Linked DNA regions of Oryctolagus cuniculus. The protein of the gene in region 3 purifies or fractionates together with the protein of the main gene of each other region. This does not show direct contact. Links are inferred from orthologs where the notes say so. Each region holds a gene or a part of one and is shown on either strand. Other genes may lie near its edges. The genes, in order: HNRNPA1, BTRC and HNRNPU.

What was found.
Region 1: the proteins of HNRNPU (region 3) and HNRNPA1 purify together in Homo sapiens (affinity purification with mass spectrometry; 6 studies listed by BioGRID and IntAct, with this or other methods). This does not show direct contact. The link is inferred for Oryctolagus cuniculus from reciprocal best matches to the Homo sapiens genes HNRNPU and HNRNPA1.
Region 2: the proteins of HNRNPU (region 3) and BTRC purify together in Homo sapiens (affinity purification with mass spectrometry; 6 studies listed by BioGRID and IntAct, with this or other methods). This does not show direct contact. The link is inferred for Oryctolagus cuniculus from reciprocal best matches to the Homo sapiens genes HNRNPU and BTRC.

The regions. Positions count from the first base shown.
Region 1 is NC_091442.1:57,213,882-57,220,909, forward strand, and holds the start of HNRNPA1 (heterogeneous nuclear ribonucleoprotein A1), read left to right. Parts: upstream 1-3,348; 5' UTR 3,349-3,474; coding exon 3,475-3,489; intron 3,490-4,051; coding exon 4,052-4,168; intron 4,169-4,391; coding exon 4,392-4,538; intron 4,539-4,672; coding exon 4,673-4,883; intron 4,884-4,973; coding exon 4,974-5,066; intron 5,067-5,144; coding exon 5,145-5,237; intron 5,238-5,507; coding exon 5,508-5,582; intron 5,583-5,790; coding exon 5,791-5,943; intron 5,944-6,542; coding exon 6,543-6,698; intron 6,699-6,908; coding exon 6,909-6,964; 3' UTR 6,965-6,974; intron 6,975-7,028. Other genes in the region: CBX5 (chromobox protein homolog 5), read right to left, coding at 2,679-2,996. UniProt on the Homo sapiens protein: Involved in the packaging of pre-mRNA into hnRNP particles, transport of poly(A) mRNA from the nucleus to the cytoplasm and modulation of splice site selection.
Region 2 is NC_091446.1:28,390,289-28,397,216, reverse strand, and holds part of BTRC (F-box/WD repeat-containing protein 1A), read left to right. Parts: intron 1-2,353; coding exon 2,354-2,540; intron 2,541-6,928. UniProt on the Homo sapiens protein: Substrate recognition component of a SCF (SKP1-CUL1-F-box protein) E3 ubiquitin-protein ligase complex which mediates the ubiquitination and subsequent proteasomal degradation of target proteins. Recognizes and binds to phosphorylated target proteins.
Region 3 is NC_091444.1:64,894,014-64,901,041, reverse strand, and holds the start of HNRNPU (heterogeneous nuclear ribonucleoprotein U), read left to right. Parts: upstream 1-2,506; 5' UTR 2,507-2,770; coding exon 2,771-3,461; intron 3,462-4,311; coding exon 4,312-4,423; intron 4,424-4,510; coding exon 4,511-4,584; intron 4,585-6,375; coding exon 6,376-6,515; intron 6,516-6,951; coding exon 6,952-7,028. UniProt on the Homo sapiens protein: DNA- and RNA-binding protein involved in several cellular processes such as nuclear chromatin organization, telomere-length regulation, transcription, mRNA alternative splicing and stability, Xist-mediated transcriptional silencing and mitotic cell progression.

The DNA.
Region 1 (7,028 bases), on a different chromosome or scaffold from region 3:
CACAATAAAATGCAAAATTTTCACTTGCAGTCGACTAGGAAGTCTTAGTTCAGTTCCTAAAATCTTTCAAAGGGAAAAACATCAGTAAAACACCAAATAAAGGGTCATCAATTGATCTGCTTGTGAACACAAGTGGCTGGTGCTGGAAGAATCCACTCAGAGCAACCTCAGGTGGCCTGACTTGGTTTCCTATTCAGAGCAGTCGTTCCCCGCCCACCCCATGCCCAAAACCATGGGTCTGTAAGCCACTGTGACAGCAGTTCAGTATAAACTGACCTGCCTCGAGAAAATGAAATAGGACATGGAATGTGGGAAAATACCAGAGTGTTTGCACCTTTGCTGTGTGAAACTTGTTTCCATGTACGTACAAAGTCAGTATAAAATATATTTCTTCCTGAGGGTCATAGCTAAAGCAGAGTGACAGTCACTCAAAGCCAGGAAAGAGATTTAAAGTTAGGTGAAATCCTTAACAGGCATCTGAGACAAAATTTACCTTCTTAAAAAAAACACCTTTGCCATTATTTAGGGAGCCAAATTCAAGCAGTCAATCATATAATTAGATTGCAAGAAATATTAAGAATGTTAATGAAGTATCACTTTTATCAGAAGGAACAATGATCCTATTATGTGTCTGAAAGAGATAAGTGATAGGATTTAGTAATCCACTCAGCAAAGGCCCCTCCCTAAATACATCCCACTTTTATTGAATTGGTAAAACAGAGGACTTTGAAAGGATAATTAACTCTAACATCAGCCATTTTAGGTCTGTTTCAAACTGAGATTCCGATGCTTACCCCTCTCAGACCTTTGGCAACGCCTGGCGGCTGTGAGGACAGCGGGGGGGGGGGGGGGGGTGCTGCTGGCTTCTAATAGGTAGAGCCAGGGAGCCCAAGACAGCCCCCACTCCCTGCCCAACAGAGAAGTATCTGGCTCAAAGTGCCCATAGTGTTGAGGATGAGAAACCTTGTTATAGATTAAGACTGTATTCCTTTTAAACCTAAATAAATCCAGGATACCCTCAACCGCTCTCACTTTAGTTATCAGAAGCTCAGCAACTGCACTATCAGCATATCCACAAATAGGTTTATGATCAGGTATGAAACACAGATTTGCCGTTTTTGCAAGTACGGGAGAACACGGAAATCTCTGCTCGGTTCATCACAAGCTCCATTAAAATCATTTGTATTTGCACAAGTGCGGAGAGGTCTCCAATCACAAGTGTACTTCATATGTGGTTGACTTTTATTAGAGTATTTAAAGATTGCTCCCTTGGCTTTAAGTCAGTGAACAATAAAGCAGTAAGACCCTAACACACCCAATATATAATGCAAACTTTTTTTTCAAAAGATCCCTGAATAAGCAGAGAAAGCATTATCAACAGAAGACAGACTACATGCAGAACACCCTCGTAAGGAAATCTAATCAAAAGGCAATGAATACTCCAGGTGATGGATGGGTCTTTTGTCTCCAACACCCTAACGTATCGCCTCCTACAGCGGCTTCCGTGGGACATCCTCAAAGGAACAGCACAAAGAGGGACACGGGAGATCTTTAATGGTGTAAAGAAAGATATGTACAGGAGGGAAAGTCAGAGAAAAAGACCAAGACAAAAGCACGGAGCAGCTAGCTGAGAAGAGAGACAAGGGCGATGAGAAGTATGATAAACAGAAACGCACACACAAAACTGACTTCATTTTTTATTTTATTTTAATCACAAATCGTCACCCCTGTAAAGATTAAACACGGGTCTATTGGAAACCCAGCCTGCCTCGGCCCCGGCGTCGGCAGAAGCAACACACTCCGGACAGGGGCAGGATTCTGAAACTTTTCTGCGGGCCTACGAACACCTTTGTGTCCGCAGAAACAGGCATCCTGAGGTCGCCTTGCCGTACAGTACACAGTGATTTCTCTCATTCGCTAACACTCAGTCCGTCTTCCTAAAACAAGTTCTCTAAATCGAAAGCCCTGCTCGGGTTTCCCCCAAACTCAATGTGGTGGATGCTGGGATGCCCCGACGTGGAGAGCGATGCCAAGCTGCAGCACCCAGGACCAAATTTACGCTTCCGCTACCAAAGAGGTGCACCGGGCGGGGGGCTTCGCAGAAGTCGTAGGGGGGAAAAACCCACCCCCGCACGCCATCACGACCATTGAATCTCCTTCCTCCCCACCCTTTCCCACCAAATCGAAGACCTCCCCGTCCTGGAGAGCCTATTGGACGACCTGTCCGAGAGGCTTCCTTGGGCCGCCCGCCTACTGGCTCCAGATTTGGTCCATCCACTTGAGGGCCCAACTCCCGCCTTCCCCGCTGGAGTCAAACCCACGGCCCCTCGGAGAAGCCCAACCTACCGCGCGCTTCGCGCTCATTGGCTCGGCGGGACGCTGCTCAGGAAGGGAAAACCCGCCTCCCACATTCCGATGGCCCAAAGGCCGATCAGTCGGCAGCTCGAGGTAGACCCAATTGGCCTAGACACGCGCCAGTCAAACGCCTCGGCGGCACAGCTCCACACAACCTACAGGGATGGAATATCCCGCCCCCTGTTCTTCTATTGGTTGGCCCAACCCACCGCTGCCCCTTGACTATCCCCCCACCCCACGGTCCATTCATTTCACACAATAACGGGCCCAACTGGAGCCGGTCCAAGGCCTTGTACAGGTAGACAAGACTCTCTGCCACTTACCCGGGATCGAGAGTGATCACACACCCTAACGTCTGCCCCGTTCCTCTGTGCTGAGGCCGCACCACAAGCCACCGCTGCTGCTGCCTTCTGCGCAACGCCAACCGCCCGCCAAAACGGATCCTTCCCTGCGCCTGCGCAACCAATCCTGGGCCCGGACCCTTTCTCCGCCCACAACGCCTGCGCAAAGCAGCGCGCAACTCCCGCCACTACGCAGGCGCCGTAGGTTAACCGCCTTCTCCCGCCCGCCATTTCACGTGTTTCAAGCGGCGAGCGGAACTCTATAATGCGCATGCGCAAGATCGCCATTTTACTACACATGCGCTCAACAGGCGGTTGTTGAAAAAAACCGTCACATCTAACTACTTTTCTGCTGCTTGGTGTTAATAATGCTTTACCAAACAAATAGGATATATAATTTGGACTAGTAGAATGAAAAAAAAACGTTTAGACAGGCGAAGTACGTTCAAAAATGAATGATTGTTCAGTTAGCCAATCAGGCTGGCTAAGAATAAGATTGCTCGAGGACCAATGGGGTCCGAGGGGTGGAGACTGCGCAGAACGCCCTAACGGTGACGTACGCAGCAGTGCGGCGCCATACACCAATAGTAGAGGGAAGCGATTTCAAATGTCCAATCAGAGCGAGGCAGGGGTGGAGTCTGCCAATGTCGAAAGCGAGGAGGCGGGATAAAAAAGCGAGGCCGAAGGTAGGCTGGCGGATACGTTCGTTGGCTTACTCCTTTCTGCTTGCGGACGCCGCCGAGGAAGCATCGTCGAGTTCTCTCTTCCCACCGCCGTCATGTCGAAGTCAGAGGTGAGGAGCTCCCCTTTTCTAACGTAGTTCTCCCCCTCGTCTCCCTCTTCGAGTCCAGTAGGGGCGGTTTCTTTGCCCGCAGCAACCTTTTCGGCAGTTTGCTCGGTCGCGGCCAAGGCCTACCCCTCCCAAAGTTCAAGTCGCCATTTTGTCCTCGTCGTCGCCATGAGGTTGCGGGCCGCTAGCCCCTCGATAATCACTCCGGGGTCGGCGTCGGGGCAAAATCGTTAGCCATATGGCGATTTAGGTTCAATTTTGTCCCGGCGAGCGGGTTTTAAAAAAGCCTTGATGCCCCTCACGGCGATGTCCCCCTCCCGCGCGGACCTTTTGTTGCGCGCGTGCGTCTGGAGGGAGCGGAGCGGCGCATGCGCTGGAGGCTCCCCAGCCCCCAACGGGCCGCCTCCCCTGATGAGGGGGAGCACGTGGCCCGCTTTGGACCGGAGCGAACAAAAAGTGCCGCCTTTGTGGGGGCCGAGTTGTGTTCCCCACCCCCCGCGTGGAAACGGGGTCGTGTGGTAGCCCGAATTTACAAGAGAAAAACCAATTTTGCTCTCCCGCCCAGTCGCCCAAGGAGCCCGAGCAGCTGCGGAAGCTCTTCATCGGAGGGCTGAGCTTTGAGACGACCGATGAGAGCCTGAGGAGCCATTTTGAGCAATGGGGCACGCTCACGGACTGCGTGGTAAGACTGGGGAGGGCCGGGAGGCGGGGCGTCGGCGGCTGTTCCTGCAGATTCTGTGCGAGGGCTTAAGATCCTAACGGGGCCTGAGTTCTGAGTTAGGAATGGCTCGTTTGTGGCTCTTCGGCCTGCTTTTTGGAAGTTGCGGGAGCGGGGAACAGGAGGACCGCCCTATAACCTCCTACGGGCCCGGGCCTTGTAATAAGCAAATTAACGCTGTCTCCAGGTAATGAGAGACCCGAACACCAAGCGCTCCAGGGGCTTTGGGTTTGTCACCTACGCCACCGTGGAGGAGGTGGATGCGGCCATGAACGCAAGGCCACACAAAGTGGATGGAAGAGTTGTGGAACCAAAGAGGGCTGTGTCGAGAGAAGTAAGTGGGCCCCCAAACCCCCATCGGTTGTGGTAATAGGCTTGCCATTGGGGAGCCATCTGGACCCTTTCAAGTACTTGATAAAGGACACAGATTTTGCCATTTAGAGTAACTCGTGGTTCTCGGCTCGGTAGGATTCCCAAAGACCAGGTGCCCACCTCACTGTGAAAAAGATCTTCGTGGGTGGCATTAAAGAAGACACTGAAGAGCATCACCTCCGAGATTACTTTGAGCAGTACGGGAAAATCGAGGTGATTGAGATCATGACTGATCGAGGCAGTGGCAAGAAGAGGGGCTTTGCTTTTGTGACCTTCGACGACCATGACTCCGTGGATAAGATTGTCAGTGAGTATCAGATCCCAGGCACTTTGCGGGCTTTCTGCAACGCACGTGGCATTCCACTCTAACCCCGGGCTGTTTGTCATCAAATTTCAGTTCAGAAATACCACACTGTGAACGGCCACAACTGTGAAGTGAGGAAGGCCCTGTCGAAGCAGGAGATGGCCAGCGCTTCGTCCACCCCGAGAGGTATGTCTATTGCTTAGTCGGACGTTAAGGTAACTTTGAGTTTTTCCAATCTGTATGGTTTAACACTTATCTCTCAAGGTCGAAGTGGTTCTGGAAACTTTGGTGGTGGTCGTGGAGGTGGTTTTGGTGGCAATGACAACTTTGGTCGTGGAGGAAACTTCAGTGGTCGTGGTATGTATGGTTAGCTAAGGTTAACTCTAGAGAGCTTGTGGTTTCTTGACCCTAGATGACTTGTCCCTTTTTTTTCTGTAACCTGTAGTAGCATATAACAAATGGCCTACGTTTCCGAAGTTAAGTTTTATCTAAAATGCAGCTCTGGCCTGTAACTAACCAGAAGTTACTCCGGTGTGCCAATCGTTGTCACAGTGCAGGGAGCGCTTCCAGAGCGTACCACGCAATTCATATGCTCTAAACCTGCTGCACGTGTTTGCTTTCTTCCAGGTGGCTTCGGCGGCAGCCGCGGTGGAGGTGGTTATGGTGGCAGTGGGGATGGTTACAATGGATTTGGTAATGACGGTAAGTCTTTAAAGAATACATAGGTAAAAATGTTTCTGGCAACTTGTGTTACTAGATTAGGATGATAGAAACTGTTAACTGCTAGTGCATGATAAGCTCAACTGAACCCATAATAAGCATGCTTTGCGCAGGCCTTTAGCCATTACACTTGAACCGATTTTGATTGTTAAATACTTTTGTCTTATTGAGAAGAATTGTATTCTTATAGGTGGTTATGGAGGAGGCGGCCCTGGTTACTCTGGAGGAAGCAGAGGCTATGGAAGTGGTGGACAGGGTTATGGAAACCAGGGCAGTGGCTATGGCGGGAGTGGCAGCTATGACAGCTATAACAACGGCGGAGGCGGCTTTGGCGGTGGTAGTGGTAGGTATCGAGTGATCCAAGTACTTGGTCTGATAGCTAGATTAGTGTTTTAGCATTTTAATGCCCATATTGCGATTGGAAGCTCTTAAAGCATTGTGTGGTACACTGCATGGTATATTAAAAGGAAATGAGCTTGCTGTGCTACCTCCTCCTAGCTTTAAGCTGGGGCCGCCTCACTCCCAAATAAGTAGATGCTAAGCGGGTAGTGGTGTCTGTGATGTGAGTGAGTTAGCATCTTGGCAGGGTTTAGTGTGTGGAACTCCTTGGGACCGCAGGCACTTAGTTGATACATCCAAGACCGTTGACCGTTGGCAGTGGCCTGGATGCATGCACAAAGGCCTGTGAGGCTAGAGAGTACACCTCTAGTTGCCACTAGGAAAAATTCAACTTCTAATGCGGTGAACTGGGTTGCTTTGTAAAACTTCTGGATTATTCAACTGAATGCCTTGTCCAGAGAATGAAAATGCAGATGTGCAGCCACCTGAGTTTGGGAGGAAGCAGGCAGATAATAAAAGCTTTAATTCTGAACACTGAGCAGAATTGGGTACTCTCAGTCACCTTCTCAAGTAACACACAAAGGCCATCTTTCTGTTCCCTAGGAAGCAATTTTGGAGGCAGCGGAGGCTACAATGATTTTGGCAATTACAACAATCAATCTTCAAATTTTGGACCCATGAAGGGAGGAAATTTTGGAGGCAGAAGCTCTGGCCCCTATGGTGGTGGCGGCCAATATTTTGCCAAACCACGAAATCAAGGTATGGTATGAATGTAACTGGGAGATGAGCAAGTAAAAGGGAAAGGAGTTGGTTTGTTGGGTGCATAGCTGATGGTGCTGCCCTTGTCAGGTTTCGCTAAGGCTGTTAAATAGTCACTCCTAAGTTTGAACTTGTCTCATCCCATTGAACATGAAAGCAGGGCTTTTGCCGTGGGCACTTGAGAGGTTAAAAGGCCCAATCTTGTTCTAGGTGGCTATGGTGGTTCTAGCAGCAGCAGCAGCTATGGCAGTGGCAGAAGGTTTTAATAACTGCCAGGTAAGTAAACACCTTTTTTTGTGTGTGCTTTTTTTTTTAAGTTTTTATAATCGC
Region 2 (6,928 bases), on a different chromosome or scaffold from region 3:
AGACCTTTCTCTCTGTCTCTCTCTCTCACTGTCTAACTCTGCCTGTCCAAAAAAAAAAAAAAAGAGTATAAACTGTAAAAATAAGAATATAAACTATAAAAATAACATGTCCCAGAATCCCGCCATTCAGAGAGAACTACTATTAAGTCTTCCAAAAGGGCTGGCACTGTGGTGTAGCAGGTAAAGTCGCTGCCTGCAGTGCCGGCATCCCAATTGGATGCTGGTTCAAGTCCCAGCTGCTCCACTTCCAATCCAACTTTCTGCTATGGCCGGAAAGCAGTGGAACATTGCTCAGGTGCTTGGGCTCCTGAACCCTCGTAGATCTTAAAAAAAAAAAAATGTTTTGCACTTGTGCCATCCTCCACTGCTTTCCCAGGCCATAGTAGAGAACTGGATCGGAAGAGGAGCAGCCAGGACTCGAACCGGCACCATATGGGGTGCTGGCACTGCAGGAGGCGGCTTTACCCGCTACTCCACAGCACTGGCTCCCCAGAAAATAGCCACTTCTTAAAGCCGAATTTTATCTGTATCTTTTATTAAATAGATTTTTGCCCCCTCTTCACTCACTGGCTTTTGTTTTAGCCACAGGCGAGTAGTTTTCTTTGTACAGTCTGTGTGTACCTCATTACTGTGTTTTCCCCAGTCACTGAGACATACTACTATCTCAAGCTTACACTACTAAGAATTGAACAGGAGTTGATGAGACCTGCGTATTCTTTGTTCCATACTGATCCCCACAATGTGTCTGCTGACCACTCGGTGAGGTATTAAATCATCAGTTTAATGCTTTATGGACATTTAAACTTAGAAACCTACACCATCTGGCTACGTTTAGTAAACCATCTACTTCAGAAATGCCTCTAATCCATTAATGTAATGGTTTTGTTTGGAGTGTTTGGTGAAATTACTTCCCAAGACTTATGGGTACGTAGTAAGTGATCAGGAGCAACTTGATGTCAGCTACTAAAACACAGGAAGGTGTTTTGGCAACTTGTGACGGCGGAGACACTTCCAGTGTAAAGATTCAGGAATTGTGCCATCACTGGATTTTACATGATGTATTTTATAAGTCCTGTGTCTGTAATTGGCTTATCATCATGTTTCTTTAATAAGAATTAGGTGATGGATGCCTCCATCTGCTTATGCTTAAATATGAACATGTGATGCCAGCCAAACAAGATCCGTTTAATGCCTTCTTTCCCAAGTCTGCTAGAAGATGTGACTGATATCCATACAATCTTTATAATTAGAAAAATGTTTAAGCATAGTTGGATTGTTGCTAATCACATCAAAGTGTGTCTGTATAATTTGGGGAAAGGCACAAAAATGAAATGTGGTGCTCTCCTGTTTGTTAAATTTATGTCTACTGGAGTCAGGGCATAATGGAATCCTTCTGAACTATTTAAGTCTTTGTAATATATAACCTGTAAAGAGAAATAGCCTTCATTGTTTTTGACTCGTTTTTGAACTTAGAACAGAAGCCCAAAGATTTTTTTAGTGCGATCATCCTGTCGTGTAGGAGCTTTTCCACTGGGACCCCAGTGCAGATTTGAGTGGCTGTCAGGTTTACCCAAGCCAAGATCTACTCTTTACTCTTTTCCTCTGCACATCCTGCAGAATATCCTCTGAGATGCTTACCAAGTTGTCTATTGGTCTGGATTTTTTTTTCCACTTTTGGTCAACTGTCATTTAGGTTTTATAGCAGCAGCTATTCTCACACAGCTTTTTTTTTTTTTTTTTCTTTTTTGAAACATCTGAAATGAAGCATACCTCACTTTCTTTCCTCTTGGGGTATTCCTATACCATTCTGTATTTCCTTCTTCTCCTCCTTTCTGCATGCCCCAAATTCTATAACCCAGCACATTCTGCCTTAGTGTTTCTCCCCCAGTACATTTAAAGGATATTTCTTCTACTGAATAGCTTTGGAATTGCAGCAGTAATAGAAACAGAATGAGAAATGGACCTAATATAGAGATTTGGGGGGGTCTGAATCAGAGTTTGAGATGCCATCCACAGAACATCCCCTAGTGCTGAAATCCATATAGATAGATGTGAATTGTTTTCTGGAATCCTTTTTATTTTTAATGTCTTGGAGGGGTTGCTGGTTGTTAGCTTTAACTTCCTTATCTAAAGGAAGATGGAAAATACTGTTCATTTCTGTAACCTTATGGAAAAATTATTGACACTCATTTTACCCAAGCCTCTGTTTGAAAGAGCAACTGGACTACGCTGGGGACAATGATATGCCTTCATAATAGAACAAATGCTATTCTGTTTTAAAGGACCTTTTGTGAAAAATCATTCACTATCCCCTTTATTCTTTCTCTTTGCCTTCTCCCCTCCCCACTGAAAGCACGGGGTTTGGATCATATTGCTGAGAACATTCTGTCATACCTGGATGCCAAATCGTTATGTGCTGCTGAACTTGTGTGCAAGGAATGGTACCGAGTGACGTCTGATGGCATGTTATGGAAGAAACTCATCGAGAGAATGGTCAGGACAGATTCTCTGTGGAGAGGCCTGGCAGAACGAAGAGGGTGGTGAGCCTTTTAACTTGCTTAACAATCAGAGAGTGTTAGGGCCCAGCCGTCTTGCCACTGGAAGGTTGTTGGGAACAGTGAACCAATCACTTACCACTTACTACAGTGATTTTACTGATTTGCAGCTAAAAATAGAAAATAGTTGCTCATGCACTCAGCGGTTTTTCTTCTGACCCGTCACTCATAAAATGACATCACAATGTGTTAATATTGCTTGGCAAAAAATAATAGAACACTGACCAGCCATCCTGTTTCTCTAGGCAGAAATTAGTATCTTGCAGAAGGGCTGATAAGTAATTTATAAGGCAAGCAAATGAGTTTGAATCACATGGAAGCCATCAGATCAAGCTTTCCTCTGTAAAAACCCAGGACAAGTGAGCATTTTGTTTTTTCAGATTTCTTGCCTTTAGCCCATTCCTCCATTTTTTTTACCTTTGTAACAAAAGAGTATATTTTATGTCCAACTAAAATAAGAACTCTAGCTGTCAGAAAGAATAAAAAAATTAGTATAAATCATTATTTCTTCTTAAGATTTGGGTTTTCTCGTGATTTCTTACTTCATTTTGAATTCACTAAGGTTATTATACTCATATGCATGGATCTAAAAAAAATTTTTACCAAGATACACTTAACTTTAATTCTGTTTTCTGTAAACTTTGAAGTACCCTCATGTAGTTAGAGCCTAAGAGATTTCACCAGTTTTGTTGTTGTTCTCTTAACCATTCATTAGAACTTCTGGTAACCTCTTTCTTTATATAATTTTCTTCCTAAGTATGTTTCTAGAATGGTACTATATGAAGTCAAGCATGAGTCATTCATTAAGAAAGGTGACATAATAAATGTTTTAGCTGATAGAAAGACTGATAATAGGTATATGCATATTCATTTTTGCCCTTCCAACTTAATTTTTAAGTTGTTTATCTGGATCATAAAGAGATCTAAAACAGTTAAGAATGGAGAATACTTTTTAAAATACGCGCTTTGGATTAGAATTTTCACCAAAATCTAACTATCCCCCTTTTTTTCTGTCTTTGAAATTCATTAACACGTGATATATATATATGTGTGTGTGTGTGTGTGTGTGTGTGTGTGTGTATATACCAACTGCTTCAGAGATTTCAATCATTCTAGCAATTAAAAAGACTTAAAAATTTTTCCTCTCAATGAAGGGAATGAAACACCAAAGAGATCTTTGTCTATGTAATAATTGTATAAAAAAGATGTGGCATTGTGGCATAGCGGGTGACGCTGCCATCTGTGACACCGTCATCTCATATGGGTGCAGATTTGTATCCTGGCTGCACCATTTCCAATCCAGCTCCCTGCTAATGGCCTGGGAAAAGCAGCAGAAGATGGCCCAAGTGGTTGGGCCCCTGCCACTCATGTGGGAGACCGGAGAATGCTCCTGGCAGACAGCAGATGATGGCCCAAGAACCTGGGTTCTTGCCAACCAAGAGGGAGATCCAGATGGGAGTTCTGGGATCCTGGCTTCAGCTTGGCTCAGCCCTACCATTGTGGCCATCTGGGGAGTGAACCAGCGGATGGAAGACCTCTCTCTCCCCGCCTCCCACTCCCCCCATCTTTCTCTGTAATTTGAACTTTAAAATAAATAATCTTTTTTTAAATTTATTTGAGAGACGGAGTGACCAAGAGTGAGGGGAGGGGATCTTCTGTCCTCAAGTTCACTTCCTGAATGTCTGCAACAGCTAGGGCTGGGCCAGGCTGAAGCCAGGAGCCCAGAACTCCCATCTAGATCTCCCTCATAGAGAACCCAGGTTCTTGGGCCATCATCCGCTGCCTCTCAGGAACATTAGTAGAAAGCTGGATCAGAAGAATAATAGTCAGGTCTTTCCACTGGGATCTCACTCGCGGAGATCCTTCATTTAGGTCTTTTTTTTTTGCCAGAGTTTCTTGGCTTTCCATGCCTGAAATACTCTCATGGGCTTTTCAGCTGGATCACCTAGCACTCTGATATGGAATGCCAGTATCACAAGCTGTGGCTTAACTGTCTGTACCACAACACCCTTCCAGAAAATAAACTCTTAAGGTGTATAACAAAGAAACTAAGTATACAGTTAGGTACAGAAAATAAATGCTTTACATGTATAACAAAGAAACTAAGTATATAGTTAGGTCCAGAAAATAAACTCTTAATGTGTATAATAAAGAAACGAAGTATACAGTTAGGTGACATTCAGAGTCCATTTTGCTTAAGTACCTGCACTAGCCTTAGAAATACAGCAAGGGCCGGCGCTGCGGCTCACTAGGCTAATCCTCCGCCTGCGGCGCCGGCACACCGGGTTCTAGTCCTAGTCGGGGTGCCGGATTCTGTCCCGGTTACCCCTCTTCCAGGCCAGCTCTTTGCTGTGGCCCGGGAGTGCAGTGGAGGATGGCCCAAGTGCTTGGGCCCTGCACCCCATGGGAGACCAGGATAAGTACCTGGCTCCTGCCATCGGATCAGCACGGTGCGCCGGCCACAGCGCACTAGCCGCGGTGGCCATTGGAGGGTGAACCAACGGCAAAAGGAAGACCTTTCTCTCTGTCTCTCTCTCTCTCTCACTGTCCACTCTGCCTGTCAAAAAAAAAAAAAAAAAAAAAGAAAGAAAGAAAAAAAAAGAAAGAAATACAGCAAGCAGTTGCTTCCATGGGAAGACTAGAGCAGCTGGGAAAATTTCTCTGCCCCTCAGAACATCACAAAAAACTGTCTTCCCATTAACTACTGACCTGGAATTCAGTTACAGAGGTTCATCCCCTGGGGTATAAAGGTTTTGTTCCCTGTTAAAATACATTTTGTTCCTATTTGAACAGTAAATGACAGTGAGCTTTCAGTAGACATTGAGAGTTTATGAAGTCTCCTTTTGCAGGCAGGGAGAACAGGAAATGGGCAGTCTTAGCAGATGGCTGTGAAAATGCCAGAAGTAAAAGCAGGCTCCCCAGTTTTGCTTAGGGCTGGCACTAAGCCGAAATCGACAGTAGTTACAGAGAACGCAAAACTAGTATCACTGGAAAGATGACGTTTGGCCTTTGAAAAAAGTGTGTGATAGTCTAGCTAAAAATTATCCAGGGTTCAGCACCAATTGCCACTCTTTCCTGTCTCTTCACAGAAACCCATGCCTGCCTGGTTTCTTCTTTGTCTTTGACCATATTTGTCTTCTTGATTAGGCCCCATGAAGTTGCAAATGCTTGTTCACCCTGTTAAGACCTCCAGTACTCGCCTGACCTTCTTGTTGCTACTTCCGTTTCTACATGTTGCCTTTTTTCCCTGTTAGTTTTCCTCCTTTACTTTTTAAAAATAATCTGTGATCGGCTTCTCAATTTCTTCTCTGAAGTGGTCTTAGCAAGCCTGCTGCATTGACAAAGCCTTTCTGGTTATACCCTGCCCCATGTGCTGTCTGTGAAAGTGTCTCCCACTTCTTCTAACCAGAAATGAATAAACAGATACAGGGTTTTGTTTTGTTTTTAGAGATTTATTTATTTATTTGGAAACCAGAGTTACAGAGAAAGAGGGAGAGAGGTCTTCCATCTGCTGGTTCACTCCCCAAGTGGCCACAGTGGCTACATCTGGGCCAGTCCAGAGCCAAGAACTTCCTCTGGGTTTGCCACATGGGTGCACTTGGGCCATCCTCCACTGCTTTCCCAGGCACATTAACAGGGAGCTGGATCGGAAGTGGAGCAGCAGGGACTCAAACTGGTACCCATATGGGATTCCAGGATTGCAGGTAGAGGCTTTACCCACCACGCCACAGCACTGGCCCCTGTAGTTTTGTACTAAAGCTTTGGATCACTAAGATTTAGCTTCCACTCTGCCACTGTGTTTGGTTTTATTTCTTGTGATTTTTTTTTAAAGACTTATTTATTTATTTATTTGAAAGGCAGAGATAGAAAAGGAGAGAGAGAGAGAGAGAGAGAGAGAGAAAGTATCTTCTACTCACTGGCTCACTCCTCAAATGGCCACAATGGCAGAGCTGGGCCAGGCCAAAGCCAGGAGACAGGAGCTGCTTCTGTGTCCCTGACATGAATACAGGGCCTCAAGTACTTGGGGCCATCTTCTGCTGCTTTCCCAGGTGCATTAGCAGGGAGCTGGATTGGAAGTGGAGAGCAGCGGGGGCTCAAATGTCTGCTGACGCTGCAGGCAGAGGCTTAACCTTCTACAGTACACCACAGGCCCCAGCCACTGTGTTTTATGTCTAGGTGGATTTGATAGTCTGCCCCAGGACATGAACTCTGCTGTTTTCTCTCTTAAATAATACTGGTTCTGTTCTCTTCCCTCAGTAATGGTAACTCTTAAAAGTATAATAAAAGACCACTTGGGAAAAGTCCATTTTTTTAATCAGCAGATCACATTTTATGGTAACATTCTGAATTTAATATTTAACATTTATCATGTA
Region 3 (7,028 bases):
CCGGCCCCTAAAATTTCACTTGTTTGAGAGGCAGAGAGACTGACAGAAAAAGAGACAGACCGATTCCCATTGCTGGTTCACTCCCTGAATGCTCACAACATTCCTGGCTGAGCCAGGCCAAAGCCAGGAGCTAGAATCTCAACCCAGGTCTCCCATGCGGGTGGCAGGGATCCAGTTACTTGAGCTCCCACCTGATACGGGCCAGGGTGTAAATGAGCAGGAAAATGGAATGGAAGCCAGCGCTGGGACCTGAACCCAGCTCCTCTGATATGGGGCGCAGTCATCCCAAGTGGCATCTTAACTGCTGTGCCACGTCTGCCCCAACCAAGTGATGAAATATGGACCGAGAGACTTCCGCTGTTTGTAAAAAGGACAGATGGTGAGATGATGGTTTTCTGGGCATTTAGAGCAACCGTTTTTCTTTCAAATTTTGTCTAAAGGAGCACTGGGATGAGAGTGAGGGTCTCATTTCCTTTTTTTAAAGGATTGATTTATTTATTCGAAAGAGAGAAAGAGAGGGAGAGAGATCTTCATCTGCTGGTTCAGTCCCCTAAGTGGCTGCAACAACCAGGGCTGGGCCAGGCCAAATTCAAGAGTCAGGAGCCCCATCTGGGTCTTCCATGTGGGTGCAGAGGCACAAGTACTTGGGCCATCTTTCTGCTTTCCCAGGCGGGTAACAAGGAGCTGGATCAGAAGGGGAACAGTGGGACTTGAATCAGAACCCCAGTGGGATGCCACTGTTGCAGAAGGTGACTTAGCTATGCCACAGCTCTAAAACGAGCAGGCTGGGGGTGATCTGACCCATCCAACTCTCAACCCTCTGCAAAGCTCTGGGAGATGAAGTCATGGAAACTTCTCATGTGTACCAGAAGTAGTAATTCATTTATTAATATAAATGGTTTAATAATCATCTAAGAACAATGTAAAACTCTATTATGCTTATATAAGCTTGGTTTTCATAGTTTTTTCTGTGTTAAATGGAAATTGTTTCCTTCTGACTAAAATTTAAAAACATAAATTAAATCTGAGGACACATACACATTAGAGGACCATCGACATAATTGCACTTAACTCTGATTCATTAATTACCCAGTTGGAGAACATCGAAGCCCCCTGCAGCTCTCTTCCCAATTCTGAATGAGAGCAAGGAAGAGTTCAAATTCGTCTGTGGCTTGTTGGCAAGCTTCAGCAACATAGCCAAAGGCCAAGTGAATTTCTGACACTATTTGGACGCTTCTACTTCCGGGCTGTCCTAGTCCCCTCTGTTAATTTGAGGATTACCAGTACTGCACACTATTAATCTCAACTCAAATAATCTCACGGATGTCAGTATTTCACCTTATGCCTGAATACAGGGTAAGACACATTTCTTAAAAACTGTTGAAAAGCAGCTTTTAAAAACGAACATTTGTGGATCAGTTACATCACCTCAGCCTACGGGACAAGATTTGCATTTCTGTACTTCCACATTTCAAATCAATAGCACAGCAGTCTTTTTGTGCAGCAGGTCTCTTTCCTCATTCCCACGGGGATCGCTGGCCTGGCACTGTGGGGACGCTGGGGGATTAGGATGCTACCCCGGATTGCCACTCTCAAACTTCAACCACGATCCAATCACGGATTTCTTTTTGAGAGCGAGGTCTCTCATGGCCCGTCTGCCAGACTGTCGCCCTGTTCCATCTCAGGAGCCTTTGGTTTGGGCACCATTGGGTCCCCGCGGGGACAGGGAGAAAATCCACGGGTGGCAGGTCCTAGCTGCGCTTCGCCCTCCTCACCGCACGCCCGGGCCTGAATGACAAACATCAGGCCCCACAGAGGCCTCTGCAAGGCCACTGACGCCATGCGTGTGGCTGCCGCGAAGAGCGCGCTTTGCGGATGCAGACCGGAGGAGGGGAGAAGCCGCTTTCCCAGGCCCCGCACCGGGGGCTGCCGAAGACACAAAAGAAAGGCTTCCCGAATTTAAAAGGCCATTCGCCAGGCCGGCTTAGAAAAATGAAAGGAGATACGAGGCCGGAGGTGGGGGGGGAGAGGGGGGGAAGAAGGGACGAACCAACTCTCCGTGTGCTGACTGCCAGGCTGGGTTAGACAAGCCAGAGCGGAAATAAAATCCCGAGGCGTTTTAAAACGGTATAGCAGGAGGGGCACCCAGGACGGCAATACTAAGATGGAAGAAAAGGTGGAGGGGTTCGAGCTGAAAACGCCAAGCTGAGCTCTGCTAGCATTTCAAGCCGAGCAGCCGCCCAGGCTGGGAGGCCAAGAGCAGAACGAGCTCCCTCGGCAGAAACCCAGTGGACTTTGCAGCGGGCCGGTTAAACCGAAAGGCGGTTTCCTTCTCCTCCATTTGCTCGGCACCCAATAGGAAGCGCACTGCGCGGCCTGTGCCGCGCTCCCGACCCGGGCCTCGGCGTGGGGGCGGGGAGGCAGGGACGGTGCTGGGCGGGGCCGAGCGCGAGCGCGCTCCCGCCTTCCTGCTGCGCGGCGCGCCCGTCAGCGCGGGGGGCGGGGCGGCTATATTACGTGCGCGGCGCCGCCCCTGCGAGAGGACGTTGCGTGCTCGCTCGCGCCAGGCGAGTCTCCGCGTCTCCCTCGCGAACTCGGTGAAAGGAATTGGCGCCGTTCGACACCAGGCGGGTCCTCTCTGCAGCACGAACCCACCTCCAGCCGCAGCCGCCGCCCGGACCGAGGAGCAGCCGCAGCAGCCGCTACCAGTGGCCGAGTGAGCGGAGCCCAGTCCGAGCCAAGCTCCCTGCCGCGAATCGGGGCCCTCATCATGAGTTCCTCGCCTGTTAATGTAAAAAAGCTGAAGGTGTCTGAGCTGAAAGAGGAGCTCAAGAAGCGGCGCCTCTCCGACAAGGGCCTCAAGGCCGAGCTCATGGAGCGACTCCAGGCTGCGCTGGACGACGAGGAGGCCGGGGGCCGCCCCGCCATGGAGCCCGGGAACGGCAGCCTAGACCTGGGCGGGGATTCCGCCGGGCGCTCGGGAGCAGGCCTCGAGCAGGAGGCCGCGGCCGGCGGCGACGACGACGAGGAGGAGGAGGAAGAGGAGGAGGAAGGGATCGCCGCCCTGGATGGCGACCAGATGGAGCTAGGAGAGGAGAACGGGGCCGCGGGGGCGGCCGAGTCGGGCCCGATGGAGGAGGAGGAGGCCGCCTCGGAAGACGAGAACGGCGATGATCAGGGCTTCCAGGAAGGGGAGGACGAGCTCGGCGACGAGGAGGAGGGCGCGGGCGACGAGAACGGGCACGGGGAGCAGCAGCCTCAACCGCCGGCGGCGCCGCAGCAACAGCCTCCGCAGCAGCGCGGGGCGGCCAAGGAGGCCGCGGGGAAGAGCAGCGGCCCCACCTCGCTGTTCGCGGTGACGGTGGCGCCGCCCGGGGCGAGGCAGGGCCAGCAGCAGGCGGGAGGTAAGAAGAAGGCGGAAGGCGGCGGAGGAGGCGGTCGCCCCGGGGCTCCGGCGGCGGGTGAGTGCTGCGTTGTACGTTGCGCGCGGCGGGAGGCCCGCGTGGGGTGGGGACCGGGCCCCCGGCCTGCCGGAGCCCCCCGCTGGTGGCTGGGTGGGCGGCGGTGGGGGGAGGGAGGGGTGCGGGGAATCCCAGATTAGCCGAGAGGCCTGGGGCTCGGGGTGTGTGTGTGCGTGTGCGTGTGTGACGGCGGTGGCAGCGCCTCCATTATGTGGCTCGGGAGCCGGGGCGGGGGTGGGGGCGGGGGAGCTGCAGCTGCCGCGGGAGGGGGGGAGGAGCCCCGTCGGCCCGCGGTGGCGCCGCCGCGCTGTGTGTGCGCGCGGTGCGGGCACATGGCTCAGGGCGGGGGGAGGGGAGAGGCCCGAGGTCCCGGGGCGGGCGCGCTTTGGCGGCTCCTCGCCGCGGTATTGTGCAAGGAGCGCAGGGGCTCGGCGTGACGTCACTTCCGGCGGGAGGAGCCGGCGCGCCGAGCGGGGCGGAAGATCCGTACAATGCGGCCGCGGGCTGCGCGGGCCCGGGTGGGGGAGGGGCCGCCGCCCCCGCGCCCCTCCCCCTCCTGACCGCTCGTCGGGATCCACGTGGGCTCGGGGCCTCCGGCGCGCAGTTGCGCTTAAGCTTTCTTGAAGCCTCCGGTAGACGGGCCGAATTAGTAACGTCTTTAGGCTGCGTCACTAACTCCAATCCAATTCCAAGCTGATAGTTTGAATTCACATTCGACCTGGCGGTTCAGTATTCACCCAAAACTCATTAATTCGATGCTTTTAGGCAACTTGAAATAAAAGCGGCTTTTTTTTCTTTTGGCGGGGGTGTTGGGTGGCTTGAGCACTTATGAGAGTGTCGTGTGTTATAGGAGACGGCAAAACAGAGCAGAAAGGCGGAGATAAAAAGCGAGGTGTAAAAAGACCTCGAGAAGATCATGGCCGTGGATATTTTGAGTACATTGAAGAGAACAAGTACAGCAGGTAGAGGATGCTAACGGATTGTGCGTTGTTGTTGCCCGTTCTCCGTGGGTGGGCAGAGACGTATCAGGAGCCCATTCTGTCTTTCAGAGCCAAATCTCCTCAGCCCCCCGTTGAAGAAGAAGATGAGCACTTCGATGACACAGTGGTTTGTCTTGATACTTGTAAGTGAAGCTGTTTCACCCGCTCCCCCACGCAGTCCTCAAATGCCTTGGGTTTTTTTGACAATGTTAGATTGCAGTACGTTTAACCTAAGTGCAGAAAACATGTACAGTTTTCTAAAAAGCAAAGATAATGATTGATACCCAGAGTGCAGTAGTTTAATATTAATATGCCATCAGTTGTGTTGAATTGATTTTACAGGCTTTGGCAATTTTAATTGTAATTTAAAGCTTCTTATTCTTGAATGTGAAATTGATGCCAATTTTGGACTAGTTAGCTAATGGAAACTGTTAACGTGTCCTACAGTAATTTCCTTTTATTTTGGGATTGTTAAGTCAGCTACTTGGGCTGGTTAAATACTTAACTGATGACTTTTCCCATTAGCACTCAAGTATATTCCCTATTCTAAAAGACTGTAATACTATTTCAATAACTGCTCTTTTGTTCTCAATTCCAGTTCAGTAGCTGCTGCTTTAACATAAGTTGATTTCTTCCAAAGACCTGGGGCAGCAGCAGTGGGCCATCACTGGGCCACTAGCTTTCTTCAGCAGCGAATGGTATCAATGGCAGCACTGTAAATACTACGTTACCCAGTTGGGTTGCAATCGAGTATGCGGAATTATTGCAAACCTTTAAATGGGCCGTGGCTGTCAGATTTTACTTAAATTACGTTGGGTTAGCGTTTGATCAGAATAGGATGCACCAGTCTTTCCAGTGTGAAATAGAACCAAGAGTAGAAATCGTACTTGAAAAGTTAAAATGTCAAGTTGCTCTGGTAAGGCGGAAGTTAGATTCGGATGCTTCCTTGTACAGATTGTTGATTCAGGTGATAAATGGTGATACCTCTGATTTCTTACTTGAATACCCTGTACAGGTAGTTAAGAGTTGAGTCTTTGGGAAAAAAATGCATATGGAAAAGGTGGCTTGAAATTTTGATGTCAAAATCAGTTGCTTCAAGTTACTAGCAGTTACCAAGATGCTGAAGCACTGATTACAGGAGCAACAACAGCTTCTTGAAATCATAGTTCTATCAGTGATCAGGAATTTCAGGAGCAAAGCTAATTTAAAAGTTCCGAACTGTAGGTTTCCTGTCCTGTAAAAAGGAAAAGAGCCAGCTTTCTACCTTGACTTTAGCTGTCCCTCACGTGACCCAGAGGTAGCTAGATTAAAGATGCTTTGGATTTGGATGACCTGATTAAGAGCTTAATCCTTAATTGTTGCTAATACACAAATACACAAGACCAAAATGCTGTAATATTGACAGTGTTAGAAGACCAGATTTGTATATTCCAAGTTGAGGCTGCCTTGCCTTATTCCTAAGATTTAGAAAATAATTTAGGACTTAGGAGCCTAGTGTTAAAGTACGGGATCAACAGCTCATACTCCTATGTTCAAATATTTGGCCGTGGCCTCCCTTCAGTTTTATTGTGGCACTGGTAAATTCTACCTGGTTCTGGCATGCTTCACTTTGATTTCCTGCTATCCTCTACTGCGTGCCTCTAAATCAAGGTAAAGAGCAGAGCAGGTATGTATCCATGTCACATGTCTTGTTTTATATTCTTAAAGACATTAAGCCTTAGTTTATAGGCAGTTTACTCTTTAGTACTTAATTTGATAAGAATGGTGGGAGTGGGGCTTACACGGAAAATTGGGAAAACAGCATGGTGTTAAAAACTGTTTTCTGCAGCATTAAGAAGTACATGAAAAAAATTTAACATCCAAGTTTTGTCTACATAGCAAATAGATTTCCATTGGATGTCAAAAGAATAATATGGTATTTAATATAATTGCAGATAATTGTGATCTACATTTTAAAATATCAAGAGATCGCCTCAGTGCTTCTTCGCTTACTATGGAGAGCTTTGCCTTTCTTTGGGCTGGAGGAAGGGCATCTTATGGTGTGTCAAAAGGCAAAGTCTGTTTTGAGATGAAGGTAAATGCAATGTTGTGAGGTTTCTGGAACCTTCATTTTGTAATAGTGAAGCAAGTTTATTTATCAGAATTTGCCCTATAGAGCCAGCCCATACATTATTTAGGGCACTCCATTATATGAGGCCCTTGAAAAGGGCCACCAAAGAGTTAAAATTTCTTTTGGTTAGAGTGTTGGTTTTATGAGAAAAACATCAATTGAGAATGTAATTTAAAAATATTGTTCTAAAAATCTAAATCAACCAAGTATTTAATTTTAAGTTATAAGCCCTTACATCAATTGGAAAATACTGGGAGTGGGGTAGAGTTGGGTGTCCTGTCTTTGTATAAATAGCTAGAGAAGAATTTTAGGTACCCATAGCCCAAGTGAGATAAACCAGGCACATAAATAACCTACCTACCTTGGTTTACAGTTAATGATATAATGACTTAACTTTCAGGTTACAGAGAAGATACCTGTAAGGCATTTATATACAAAAGATATAGACATACATGAAGTTCGGATTGGCTGGTCGCT